2 linked regions of the Schizosaccharomyces pombe genome follow. The protein of the gene in region 2 interacts with the protein of the main gene of each other region in a pairwise test. Each region holds a gene or a part of one and is shown on either strand. Other genes may lie near its edges.

Region 1 (5,025 bases), 1.5 Mb from region 2:
GACTCGGAAGCTGACCTAGGTCGTACAACATTTGAGGCTGAAGACCTTTATAAGCAGAGAACTCCCATTACAAAGCCTCCGGCCCCTAGATTACAATCTCGTCGCGCATCCATGCAAGAGACGCCATGGACCATCAAAGATTCATTTAACGTGGAAACTAAAGATGTGGTTCAACGATGTATACATACTCTTATTCCCACTGTAAATTTCTTTGATGTTGTAGATGATCGTCCCGATTTATACGGTCCTTTTTGGATAACCACTACGGTTATACAGGCTCTATTCTTTTCCAACTCAATTACCGAATACGCTCGTTATGCCACAGGGCATGGTACAAGTGGCTATTCTATAAAAAAGTTGATCTCTGCAGCATCAATTATTTATGGTTACACTACCATTATCGCCGTTTTGTTATGGGGTATCCTAGTGTGGAACAAATGCAACCCTAAGTTACTCGACTGTCTGTGTTTATATGGATATGCTAACATTGTTTGGCTTCCCGTTTCTTTAGCAACTCCTCCGTTTGGATTGCTATCTACTTTGGCCTCCCATATTGTCAAATATGTACTTACAGGGATTGGTTTGTTAATTTCCATTGTGTTTTTAACTAGAAATTTATATCCTATCTGTCAGCAAGCCGGATCAAATTTGTGCAAACTTTTATTGTTCGGAATTATCGTCTTTCACTGTTTGCTCGCTTTGTCTCTTCAACTCATATTCTTCAGTTAATATCCTAATTTGTGAGGAGTTTCTTTTATCAGTCGCATTGCTTCATTCGAAAATTATACTATTCCCCTTCTTTCATTCTTTAGAAAAGTCATTCAGCATTTAAGATCCTATTGAGTCTAAGTGTTGGTATACTCTATATGATTCAGTTTATACATATATTCGCTTTACATTTGATTTTCTACTCTTTTTACTATAGCTACTAATGTTCCCTCAATTTACTAGGTTTTTTTTTCAGGTGCAAAATACGTATAAATAATCATTTCTTATGCATTGATGAATCATGCCTTAGTAAAAATAATTGTAGCCTTTTTAGTGAACCAAAGACTTTATGACATTTAGTCATATTTTTGCAATCGATCTCCCGTCATTTATATAGAAAACTTAACACATTATTACTCGTTGTTCAACAAAAAAGAGCTGAAGGTAAATTAATGGTGAAGCTTAACCTGAAAAGTACTTTTACGATTTCAAATTCAGATTTTTTTCAACAAGAGAAAAAAACTTTGTGAGATATTGAAAAAACGTTGAAATTTACGATGCATCACCACAATTTCAAGATTAAAAAGGAACACGTAAAAAGAGAAAAAGAAAAATACTGTGGATAGCAAAGTACATATGTATCGATTCACGGCATACATGAAGGGAGATAAACAAAGCACCCTTTTATCATTAGTCCTAAAAACTTTATTTCTGTCATTAATGGTTAAAATGGTGTGTGTATATAAGAATACAATCTGAAAGAAGAAGGTAAGAAAACTCTTATTCCCGGAAGTTCAATAAAAAAGGAACTATGTTCAGTCTATCCGTAGATCATAAAAACAAACCAAACTCCACATAAGGACATTAGAGCTTAGAGAAAACAAAAAGCTATTGAAACATTAGTAAACAAAAAGTTGATAAGCAAACGTACATTATTAGTAGCGGCGATGGCAACTGAGTCTTCAAAGGGATGCCAACTGGCATGTAATATCTTCTTATTGTAATCCAGGTTATCAGGATCAAGGCCAACAGAAGCAGATCCCATCGCAGCTTGAGGTTGTGACCGCCAATCATTATTTTTCACAGCATTCAACTTTGGAACGTTATTTGCAGCAGATTTTCTGGCTCTAAATGCAGCCTTGTCGGCTTGCAAAACTATCTGTCCTCTATCGCCAGGCAAAGAACTATCTGTGGGGTAAATCCCAAAGTTGTTGCTATAACTTCCTGATAAAACGTGTTTGTCGTCACCAGAAAAGGTACACTCGAATTTATCAAAAATACAGTCATTTTCATAGAGATCGCATAACTTTGATCGCAAAACATCATGCAATGGAATAGTTTTAACGGGAGCTTTTTCCATGTTGACATCCCATATCTTAAGAGTTAAATAATCTCTTGAAAGAATATAGCGGCCATTTTGTGAGAACTTAACGTCTGAAATGCTAGAGATGATTTCAGAAAAGAAACTCTTGGAATCTTGATCTTCTTGATCCTCGAAAAGCTTACATGGATTATCGCAGAGCGCAGATTGACGCAAATCTAAGAGTTTGATATTTCCCTTGCTGCTACTATACATGAGATGATTGCAGTTTATCGGGTGAAACTCGGCACTAGTAATAACTTCCGTAAGTTCTTCCATATTTTCAGGTTTAATGTCAACTATGTTGAATGAATGATCGGAGATGGACAAGTTCCATAAGTTGATACGTAAATCATCAGCGGAAATGTAAGTTTCTGCATCAGAGTTAACGCTAATCGAATTAATATGATATGCGTGTGCATTAGCGTAAACACGTCGTGGATATGCAGCGATAATCATGTCATGATGGTTGAGTCGTGGGAGTCGAAGTTGCGAAGGTGTTGTCAAAGGTCCTTGCATAGGACTGTGGAAACTGTCCGACAAATTATTTTCGGCAACGACTTTCAAATTCTTTTCATATAGTTTCCACAATTTTATAGTTTTATCATTCGTTGAGAGTAAAAAATGCGCTCGATTAGTCCTCTTGCACCAGCGAATTTTATTGATCTTTTCTTCGATTTCTAAGGACTTGAGATAATCAAACTCGGGTTCATGACTTTGAAATTCAGTAAAAAACTTATACTCACAACCCTTTTTCGAATGATTTCGCTCAAAAAGAACGACTCTGCCACCTTTATCGCCGGTTGCTAGATAATCACCTGTGTGGTCGAATTCTACTGCTGAAATGATATCGGCTAAACTTGTTAGTCATTTATTCAGTGATTAAAGTAAAAGAGAACTCTTTTATGAGAGAACTACTCAAAACCAATACCTTCAGTGATGTCTTCCACATCACCCTTGTCACCAAAGCATCTAAAGAGTTAGTCATTAATTTTTTTCACACATCGTTTACATACTGGGCAAATTTCCACTGATCCAAAGAGTCTTCTATATCATCCATCTTCTACTCGTATTATATTAAGATTTCGTTCCCGTTGGTACACTTTGCCAATTTCAATTGTATACGAAGATCTTGATCTTCAAATTTCTAAGGGTATCTCTATACCGTCTTTGGATCTTTTTTCAAAAGTTTTGATACAAAGTTTCCCAGTTTTCACTGGCTTTTTTGGAGGGCTGCTGATTTTCCTAACTTGATGGTTCGTATCAAATGCTGCTACCCTAACGAATCTACACCACTCTTCGGCGAGTCAAAAGCTCAGTAAAATTTTTATCGGTAAATCAAGCCTTAAGCGACTTTAAGTTATTAATGGATTTTTGATAAATACAACACTATTTCATTACTTCAGTGTTCATCTTACGCTTTACTACACATAGGATTTTTTGCTCAACTTTACAAAGTCCAGTGTAAAACTTGTTGGCAATTTCCCATTAATGAAACCTTAATCATTTGTACGCTAAAGAAAGGTGTTTTTGATTATAAAAAACTAGAAGTTCATTGTCATATAAAAGATCCATATTGTTTTTATAGTTTGCAAAATTGAATACAGCAGATAAGTAAATTACAAAAAAATAAGAAACATAACTGGAAAGTAGCAAATATTTTACGAATAACGTATGAATGATTAAATGAATAAACCGTCCTTGATACATTACGATGGCGCTCTACGTAAGCGTTTTACATACTGGTAAACGATACTTAAGTTCCTAAATTTTCTTTTCCTTCTATGTTGCAAAAAACATATGTAAAAGGGAGACTTATTATTTAAAACTTATTTTTCGGTTTCTAAATACTTCTATTATCCCGATTATGTGTCGATTTGGTTCGCCGCAACCAAGACAAACCCAACGTCGATAATTAATTTTATTCCATAAAAAAAAATCTCAATAATCAATGTACGGCATCACTAATTGCATATACTCCATTGATAACTTGATTTCATTACCTAATATACAGTGACACATTAAAAAACGCATCCTTTACCAGTCTTTCCGCTTTTGAGGAGGATGCGGAGGTTCAGAGTGTTTAGGACTAGAACATGTTAGTAATAGAAAGAGAAAGTCAACACTATAATTCTTCAAAAAACTTACTGAGCATCTGGGCAATTAGGGCCTAGCGGACAAAACCCAGCTAAATATTTTGGGCAAGGCCTTGGTTTTCGTACATGTTTGCCTCGACATATAGGTCCTAAAGGACAAAATCCCATATTATACCAGGCACAGACACCAACTTGTTTACTGGGATCCAAATGGAGATATAAACACTCTTCGCCATTAGAACACCAGCCGCGCTCTGCATAAAAGTGACATGGAGGCATCTTTTTTAAATTGTACTCGTGTAAAAAATCACACTGTTCACCTTTTTTACAAAGTCCACGAAGCCTTATATAATATTAGTTATCATGAAGGTAGAAACAAAAACAAATAGAAAAATACATGAAATATATATTCATATTACTCTTCTTTATATATACATACCAATGCTTGCAAACCACGCTACCCATTTTCGATCCAGAATCGCGTCCATTTCCAGAGTTTAGCAAGGCAGACCTTCCGAAATTAAAATTTTGCTTTAAATAGTTATCAAAACGAAATTGAACTGAAGAAAAATCAGCTGCTATAGCTTTATCTTTGATATAATCAGTCATTTTGTAGTAACCAGTAGATGGCGGAGGCAACGTTGTTCAGTTGACTTGAATATCACAAATACTTTATTGACTGGCATTCACATACTATAAATGATGCTTATTAAACTAGAACGAATTAAATTATTCTTATAATATTCATGAAATCGCTATTGTTTTAAGGTTTTCTTCATAGGTATGTTTGAAACCTAAGTAAAGAATGATATTATGCAGCATACGAATAAAATAACTTTTATAAAACATATTCTTTTTATC
Region 2 (8,407 bases):
TTGATTTGATTCAAACTACTGAAGAAAAGTTGTATGAGCAATATCGACAAGAGCAGATGAAAGTTCGCCAGTATGGAGAACCTAAACTGCGGACTATTGATAATGCGAAATTTAAGGAAGAAGAAGAAAATTTGAGAAAAAGATTTACAGAACAAGTGCGCGTAGAAGAAACTCGATTTCGACAATGGGAACAACGCTTGATTGCCGAACGCGACTCATTAAATAAAGATTTGGAAGCTCAGCATGTTCAAATAAAACAAATTGAACTTGAAATCGAACGACTAAAGGCGGCTACCAGCTCTCGCAAACGTTAGAGATAATGTTAAAATATAACGAAACTTGATACCCAATTATCATTTGGGTTTGTTTGCTAGTGAACCATACTATCATCTTTTATGGTCCTTCATTTCTAATACATAATGTCAAACGTCTATCTTGCCTCCCGTATAAATTACATTCTTTAGACAATCAATTAACTATATGATTTTATTTTATTTTTTCTATGCCTTTATACACTCTTTTATTGTGGTTTTATTCAACGTATAGTACATATGCTTTCATAAGTTGCTCAATTTTTATATAATTTTGATATCGAATAAATTTTCTGTATCTTATAAAATTTCTTGCATAAGTACTTAAAATTTCTCGTTTTGTGTCTTTCTGAAATAAAATTGTGCAATGTGTGTTTATAGTCAATGCTTAATAATATGTTACAAATATTTAGCTACATGACAATATGATCTTTCATTGCCTTGAGAATGGCTTTCAAAATTGTTTCTATAAATGTGAAGTAAACTATTTAGTTAAGCAATACAAATGCCTAAAAAATATTTGATAGTTTTTTGGAATTCCTAATTTGTATTATGCGAATTTCTACATCATCTTCCCTTTTGTTTTCTGTAAAAATGATTATTTGGAGTATTGTTGATGCGTGTGTTTGAGTGCACGAGGCTTTGTTTATTTCATAATAGGTCAGCCCACGCAGTGTCTTGGTTGTCTTTTTCCAACAATTAGCTGAAAAGCGCAAAAGGTCCAAACAGCACCTAATAGATTTTAGAAGTATTTAAAAAAGGTGATTTATTTAAAAAATTGATTTAAAGCATAAGATTGTCGTAATCATGGAACATGGCCTCTCGCCAAGGCTTCAGCAATGTGAATGAAGATGAACCCGAGTTGCCCCCTTCGGTTTTATCATTGAAATCAAAGTTCGAGTCATTGAGTACCGGTGACCTAACTAATTTGGACGAAAAAACTGCTAAAAGAAGAACTGTAAAAGGTTGTAAAAATGGCACTTCTGAGCCAAACGTTTTTAAAGCAAGACCTATTCCACCGCCGAGGCAAGTCTCATCGACTATAGGAAGTTCGACTGGACGAAAAGTTAGTGGTTCAATTCAAAGGCTAGCTTCTAATTTTAAAAATCCTTCAAACCCCCACGCTGATGTTTCAAAAATAGATCGTCTACCTAGTGATTCTTCTGAATCTCACGTAGCTACTCCATCTTCTCCTACTATATCTAATTCATTTGTTTCTGTTTCTCCATTACTTAAGCGACCTCAACAAAAAGGGCCTGAAATTTCTTTTCAATCATCTGTACAATCTACCAAAGGAAATGATCTAATGAAACACGATGATACCAATAATCATCAAATACCACCCCCTAAACCCAATTTTTCTTCGAAAGCAGGTTCTTCAAGCCCGATATCTGTATCTCCATTAAAAAATGTTAAGGCATATATTTCTCAGTCTCCAACTCACTCCGAAGCCTCTTCGGTTCTGTCTTCTGAAGAAGAAGAAGAAAACGTTATCAATTCTAGTAAAAGTGTGCCCTCCTTTGATTTGCATGATCCATTTAGCCAGACCTTTGGAAAGGAGTGTCCCATATCGACGGCGCCTCCTGTTTTGAACATTGGAGACAGGTCTTTGGAAACTCCTCCTCCAATTCCCTCTCCAAGACCTCCACAGCCAGTTGCTGTTGAGGCTATACAGCAATCGCGTGCGGTAATATCTCAACAATTACCGCTTCATGTATCTCCCCGAAAGCCCCCAAAACCACCGCTGCGTAAAGTTTCTACCCAGCGCTCTTCTTCCCCAATAGAGAATTTGGCTACTAAAAGTGACGCCAGTCTTGTTACTGGTTTACAGTCGTCTCCCTACACTCATATTGCTCCTGCATCAGAGATGTCTTTAATACCTGAGAAACCCAGATTACCTCCCCGTCCTAGTCACACTTTATCAGAACTGTCTAGTCCAGCTTTAACATCTGAAAACTTATCTTCTAAACCATCCCCTTTGTTTCCTCCACCACCACCGAGGGTGAAATCCTTAGCTACTAACAAACCTGTCTCTATGCCTGTTTCTACTGAGCAAAGTGATCCTTCTGTTGCTGCTAGTTCCTCTTCGTCATCGCAATTAGATGTTGTTTTAAAAGGAAGCATACCAGATACTTCTAGCGTTAGGAGGAACCCGCCCTGTTTTGTTAACGGTGTTGAATCAATTAACGTAGATTTTGAAGCTAGAATCTTTGATGTTAGTGGTGATCGCCTTGTTTTAGCTGGAAACGGAGGACTTCGTGTTTATGACACCGTTACTGGTCTTTGTCATTGGCATATGCCTCTAGGGGATACGAAGGTAACGTCCTTATCATTTAAATCATCCCCGGAGAATTACTCTGACGATGGCAGATTTGTTTGGTTTGGAACGAGAGATGGGATGTTATGGGAAGTCGATGTTCAAAATCATCATATCGTTACTAAGAAGTCTGTTTCCAATTGTCCTATTACTTACGTTATGGTCTATAAAAATGAAATGTGGACGTTGGACGATATGGGAAAACTGTATGTATGGCAGGAAGATGAAATTATGGGTTTAAGTATACAGTCTACTCCACATAGTATTCGCACCATTCCTCATGCCACTCATGCTATGGTTTTAGATAATCGGCTTTTATGGGTTGTTGTTGGGAAATCAATTTATGTATATGATCCTTCAACTTCAGAAAATGAGTCGGCAAGTGTTTTGGCGAAGCCCATGACTCCACCTGGTTTGATAGGTGATATCTCTTGTGGCACTACTATTTCAAACTTTACGGATTTGGTCTTCTATGGTCACGTTGATGGAAAAATATCCATCTTTTCGAAAACCCAATACCGTTTTTTGGAGCTAATTACTAGCAGTTCATTCTATAGAATTTGTTCACTAGTTGGTGTTGGAAATACACTTTGGGCAGCCTACACGACAGGCATGATTTACGTATTTGATGTTTCTGAGAGTCCTTGGCGCCTCTTAAAAAGTTGGCATGGTCATAAAGCAAGTCACAATGGAGCTACCACTATACTTGGTATTGATGTGAATAGCGTATGGAAAGCTAAAAGGCTCCAAGTTGTTAGTATGGCTTCTTCAGTTGTCAAGTTTTGGGATGGTTTAATGATGGGTGACTGGTTAGCTACCGAAATGCGAAGCCGCTTCCCAGAATATAGTAATTTTACTGACGTGTCTATACTTATTTGTTCCTGGAATGCCGGAGCTTCAAAGCCATCTGATCTAGATAGTGATACTATTGGAGCTAGTATGATTCCAATGATGATTCGAGACAATGGATACCCAGATATAGTTGTGTTTGGTTTTCAAGAGCTAGTTGATTTGGAGAATAAAAGACTCACAGCTAGAAGCATCCTTTCAAAGTCGAGCTCCAAAGGTGGTTCGTCTAACAGTGCTAATATTTCCAGTCAGTATCGTTTATGGCGTGAAAAATTAGAATCTGAAATGATGCGGGTAAGCTCAAACGATGATTATCAGGTTTTGGTATGTGAAAATTTGGTTGGTCTTTTCTCATGTGTTTTTGTAAAAAATAAGTTACAAAGCAAAATTCGGATGTTACAATCGACAACTGTAAAAACGGGACTAGGTGGTTTGCATGGTAACAAAGGTGCAATAGTCGTTCGCTTTCTGGTAGATGATACTTCATATTGCATAGTAAACTGTCATTTGGCTGCTGGTCAATCCAATAAAGCAGCCAGAAATAATGATTTGGCAACAATTTTAGACAATGCTTCTCTTTTTCCTGAAAATGATGAAACTGATCAATTGAATACATTCGTTGGTGGTGGCGATGGCTCTTTAATTATGGATCACGAAGTTTGTGTTTTGCATGGTGATTTAAATTATAGAATCAACACATTGAGACCTAAAGCTTTAGATTTAATTAAAAAAAACGACATAAAAACTTTGCTCCAAAGCGATCAGCTTCTTGTTGAGCGAAAAAGAAATGCCGGATTTCGTCTGAGAACATTTACTGAACCAGAAATCACGTTTGCCCCAACTTACAAGTACGACGTTCATAGTGAGCAGTACGACAGTAGTGAAAAAAAGCGTGTGCCTGCCTGGTGTGATCGTATCTGTTATCGTGGAAGTCCCGACTACATCTCTGCAGAAAACTATACCAGGTACGAACTGAAGGCATCAGATCACCGACCAGTATCTGCTTTAATACATTCCAAAGCGAAGATGGTAAATGCGCAATCTCAGGGGTCCACATGGGACGTGGTCAAACGAAAGTGGATTGAGTATGCTGATGAATTTAAGAGAAAGGCTAAGTATGTTTTTTTTTGGAGAATTTTGCTAACCAACCAGAATAACCTATGTCATGAATTATACTTCTGTGTCTTATCAAACGGCTGAACAATATTTGTCTGGAAATAACTGGAATGTACAAAATGCTTTAAAGCAAGTGTCAAGTTGATTTCGAATAGTTCTCGTTTGGATGTGTTTATATATATTATGTAGATTAAATTATAGTAGAATATGCCATTATAAGTTCATTTAAATACAAAATTGTGAATGCTGTAAACAGGTTGTTTACGAGTTTTTAGTAAGCTATCCATTTAGACTTCTTCTTTTCTCAGTTTCTTCAAGCCACCGTGAAAATAGTAGTTGTGATATGGGGCTCCGCTTTTGCTTTTTGTGATGCAGTCTGTTGTCTGGAGTAATTTGGTTAACAAATTTTGAGGACAGATTTTTATCTAAAGAAATGAAAGATGTATAAAAAGATTCTAAAGATGAGCGCTGCGTTGCTGACAATTTATCATTTAATAACATCGATCGTATGGTGGACTTAATATAATGTTTCATAGCAAAATCGGAAGTCAACGATTTATGATAAGAGCTACCTTTTTCAGACAATGACTTGGAAAAAGGATGCGGTGTCGCTTGATCACTCATTATAGTTTTCTCTAAATATTTTATTGATGAAGGCAATTCCTCTTTATTTTGTGAACTGATGATGGAATTTTTAGGAATGCTAGTATTCCCTAACACAGTTGAGTCAGATTTCTTTACAGTTTCAAATGTCCAATCCTCAATGTCAGCATTTCCTTCAGCAATTGGTTCTTCAAAGGGCTTTAAAGTATTATTTATGGTTTCTTCCAATACACTTTGATCCGAATCATCAAATAATTTATTCTCCTTCTGAACAAGCAAAGGAATAATGTCTTTCACAGTTCCTGCGCTTTTGATGAATGGGTGTTGAAGGAGTTCTTTAGCTGACCATCGCATATTAGGATTGAGATCTAAGCAGCAGGACACAAAATCACGGAATGTTGGACTGAAATGATCATCTAGCTTTGGAGGCTCGGATTGAGGAATTTCAAAGATGACACGCATTGGATGCATTGTAGCGCGGGGCGGAATTCCGTTAGCCATTTCAATAGCCGTAATTCCAAGAGACCAAATGTCAGCAGCTAAACCATAACTTGTTTGTTGTATTACTTCCGGTGCCATCCAAAATGGCGTTCCAACAAACGTGTGTCTACGCGAAGCAGCGTTCGAAAGTTGAGCGGCAACTCCAAAGTCAGCAAGCTTTACGTTTCCGGTAGAGGAAGATAGTAGTATATTGGCGGCTTTGATATCTCTGTGGATTTTGTTTTGTCCATGAAGATAATTTAGCCCATAAAGGACCTCTCGAAGAATGATTGAAATTACTTGTTCATTCAACCTTCCCATTTTCAAAAGTCCCGAAACTGATCCTCCATCCATATGCTCCATCAAAATCCATAATGTGTATCCGTCAACAAAACAACCGTAATACTGAATTACATTGGAACTGTTGCAATTCGATAACATAAATACCTCTTGTTCGATGTCGGTAATGTCGTCAATACCTGTTTCTAAATCAATCTGCAACTGTAAGTTTTTTGTGATACTAAAGAAGAGTAAAAATTAATTAGTCTTACCTGTTTAATAGCGATAATGTCGCCAGACACATTTTCACGTGCTTTCCAGACAACCCCAAATGAACCTGATCCTAATTTCCGTAGCAGAGTATAAGAATTAGCATTGAGAGGATACATTTCATCAATATTTTGACTGCTCAAATCTGAGGTTGAGCCTACTTTCGGTTTCGTTTTACAAGCACAAGCTAGATGCACCACGAAGTACTTTGTTTATTACTTAGAGGATTATAATGAGCTACTCCGAGACGCCTATTCCAGTAAACTTAACATTACCAACTTGTTACGAAGTATATATAATTAGACTAGTTTATTATAAAGTATCGAGTTTTATGTCTGAATCTACCAAAGAGACAATAGAAGTTTTATACGAAATAGGAACATTGCTTGGAACTGAACTTGATAAAACAACGCTTTCACTCTGCATCAGTCTTTGTGAAAACAACGTACACCCAGAAGCAATAGCTCAAATAATTCGGGAAATACGTATGGCTCAGGAACAAACTGTTGACACAGAACCAAGTTAATGGCAAGAAGTTTAATCTCAATAGTTGACCTCGGGGTTTAGTATTTCTTTTATCTAATGTCTTCTTTAAACAGTGTTCTACCTTCAAATGCATGCGCAGAGATTATTGAAGGGAAAGACAAGGTTCACAATGTAGTTATTTTAATGCATGGACTTGGAGATTCTCACAAGAGTTTTGCAAATATGGCAAAGAACGTTCCGTTGCCCAACACTAGTTATATTTCCTTACGTGGACCATATCGATTACCATTAGATTTTGAAAATCCTGGAGGCAATTGGATGTGGGGAGAGGATGTCCATTTTGATCAAAACGGGGAACTGCAATCTGAAGCCGATTTCTCTAAAAGTTTTACGATGATTTCAAATTTAATTGGCAATCTACTCTCTTACGGTATATTATCTTCTAGAATATTTTTTTTCGGGTTTGGTCAAGGAGCTATGGTTGCTTTATATAGTTGTTATAAATTGTCTACTAAATACCAGCTTGGAGGGATATTTTCCTTTGGAGGTACTCTACCGCTATCCATAACTTTGCCCAATCATCCATTTCATGTTCCAGTGTATTTGTTTGAAAAGCGATTGCATTGTTCATGCAGCGAATATGAAGAATCGCGATTACGTAAAACATTTAAACCATTTCACCTCACATGTTGGAATCGTGATGATAAAACTGACATGCCTTCATCCCCTAGAGAATGGTATACATTCGTTCAATCTATTAGTAAACATTTGTATATTCACAACACGTTGTTTGAAGATGCAATTCCTCTTACATCTTTTTAGAATTGATTTATTTAAGTTAACATTTGTTCACAATAAAGTTAATATTCATTTGGGCATAGATATAACAATAACTCCTCTAGCCATTATGTGATTAAAATTAGTACGTTTACCTTTTGATCATTAAGATTTTCAATCGACAAGATAACTAAGATCCGGAAGCTTATCAACAATTCTATTAATTAGTTGATTTTGGTCAACTGTTTTTATATTTCCACGCCCTGCTCTCTCATTATTAAGAAACGAAGTATTGATCGATTGAATAACAGCCGGAGTGTCTTTAGGAGCTGACAATGAAGTAGAAGGTGAACTAAAATTCTGAAAAATTAGAGTATTTGGCTCAACTTGAGACTCTTCACTTACATCATCAACGGAAGCAGAAGCTAAATTCGATGAGTTTTTCGAGGTATCTTGGGAACTGACCCATGAACCCCATTCAAAATTATCAGAGGTTGGATCCGGGGAAAGAGACGTTGATGAATTTTTTTTCTTCGTTTCTCTAATTTTTTCTTCAGAGTCAAGTTTAGCGATTGATGAATGTTCTTCGACTTCATCAACTTTTTTACGATCCAAACTTAGTGGTGATTTTGGAACAACTTCATCCTCTTTATTTATTGAAATTGTAGAACAACTGTTGCTTTCCCTCTCAATCAATTTGACTGGGGAAGAAAGGAAAGTATTTGCAGATAATTTGTGATCCTGTTTAACAGCAACTGTATTATTTAAAAGAGCCGTAGAAGAAGAATAATCCTTGGGAATTTCATTCGATGATAAATTAGAAAAATCAAGTATATCTGAAGGAACATTTATACTGGAAATCTTGGTCGTAGAAAAATTAGATAAAGGAGACTGTTCCGGTAACAAAATATTTTTGTCA

The links.
Region 1: the proteins of sid1 (region 2) and pab1 interact in a two-hybrid assay, tested with the Schizosaccharomyces pombe proteins (one study listed by BioGRID).

The regions. Positions count from the first base shown.
Region 1 is NC_003424.3:506,564-511,588, forward strand, and holds pab1 (serine/threonine protein phosphatase PP2A regulatory subunit B-55 Pab1), read right to left. Parts: upstream 3,331-5,025; 5' UTR 3,129-3,330; coding exon 3,085-3,128; intron 3,041-3,084; coding exon 3,000-3,040; intron 2,923-2,999; coding exon 1,640-2,922; intron 1,618-1,639; exon of another isoform or gene 1,597-1,617; coding exon 1,573-1,596; 3' UTR 959-1,572; downstream 1-958. Other genes in the region: yip5 (Rab GTPase-binding protein), read left to right, coding at 1-729; cleavage and polyadenylation specificity factor complex subunit Yth1, read right to left, coding at 4,106-4,157, 4,217-4,507, 4,604-4,773. UniProt on the Schizosaccharomyces pombe protein: Phosphatase 2A affects a variety of biological processes in the cell such as transcription, cell cycle progression and cellular morphogenesis, and provides an initial identification of critical substrates for this phosphatase.
Region 2 is NC_003424.3:1,983,694-1,992,100, reverse strand, and holds sid1 (PAK-like GC kinase Sid1), read right to left. Parts: upstream 6,404-8,407; 5' UTR 6,345-6,403; coding exon 6,228-6,344; intron 6,172-6,227; coding exon 4,873-6,171; 3' UTR 4,739-4,872; coding exon of another isoform or gene 4,630-4,738; 3' UTR 4,593-4,629; coding exon of another isoform or gene 1,126-4,592; 3' UTR 867-1,125; downstream 1-866. Other genes in the region: mitotic septin Spn4, read left to right, coding at 1-314; inp53 (inositol polyphosphate phosphatase), read left to right, coding at 1,126-4,592, 4,630-4,738; putative mitotic spindle organizing protein Mzt1, read left to right, coding at 6,557-6,751; SPOM_SPAC9G1.08C (phospholipase), read left to right, coding at 6,808-7,533; SPOM_SPAC9G1.07 (Schizosaccharomyces specific protein), read right to left, coding at 7,663-7,848, 7,894-8,407. UniProt on the Schizosaccharomyces pombe protein: Has a role in the septation initiation network (SIN) required for cytokinesis.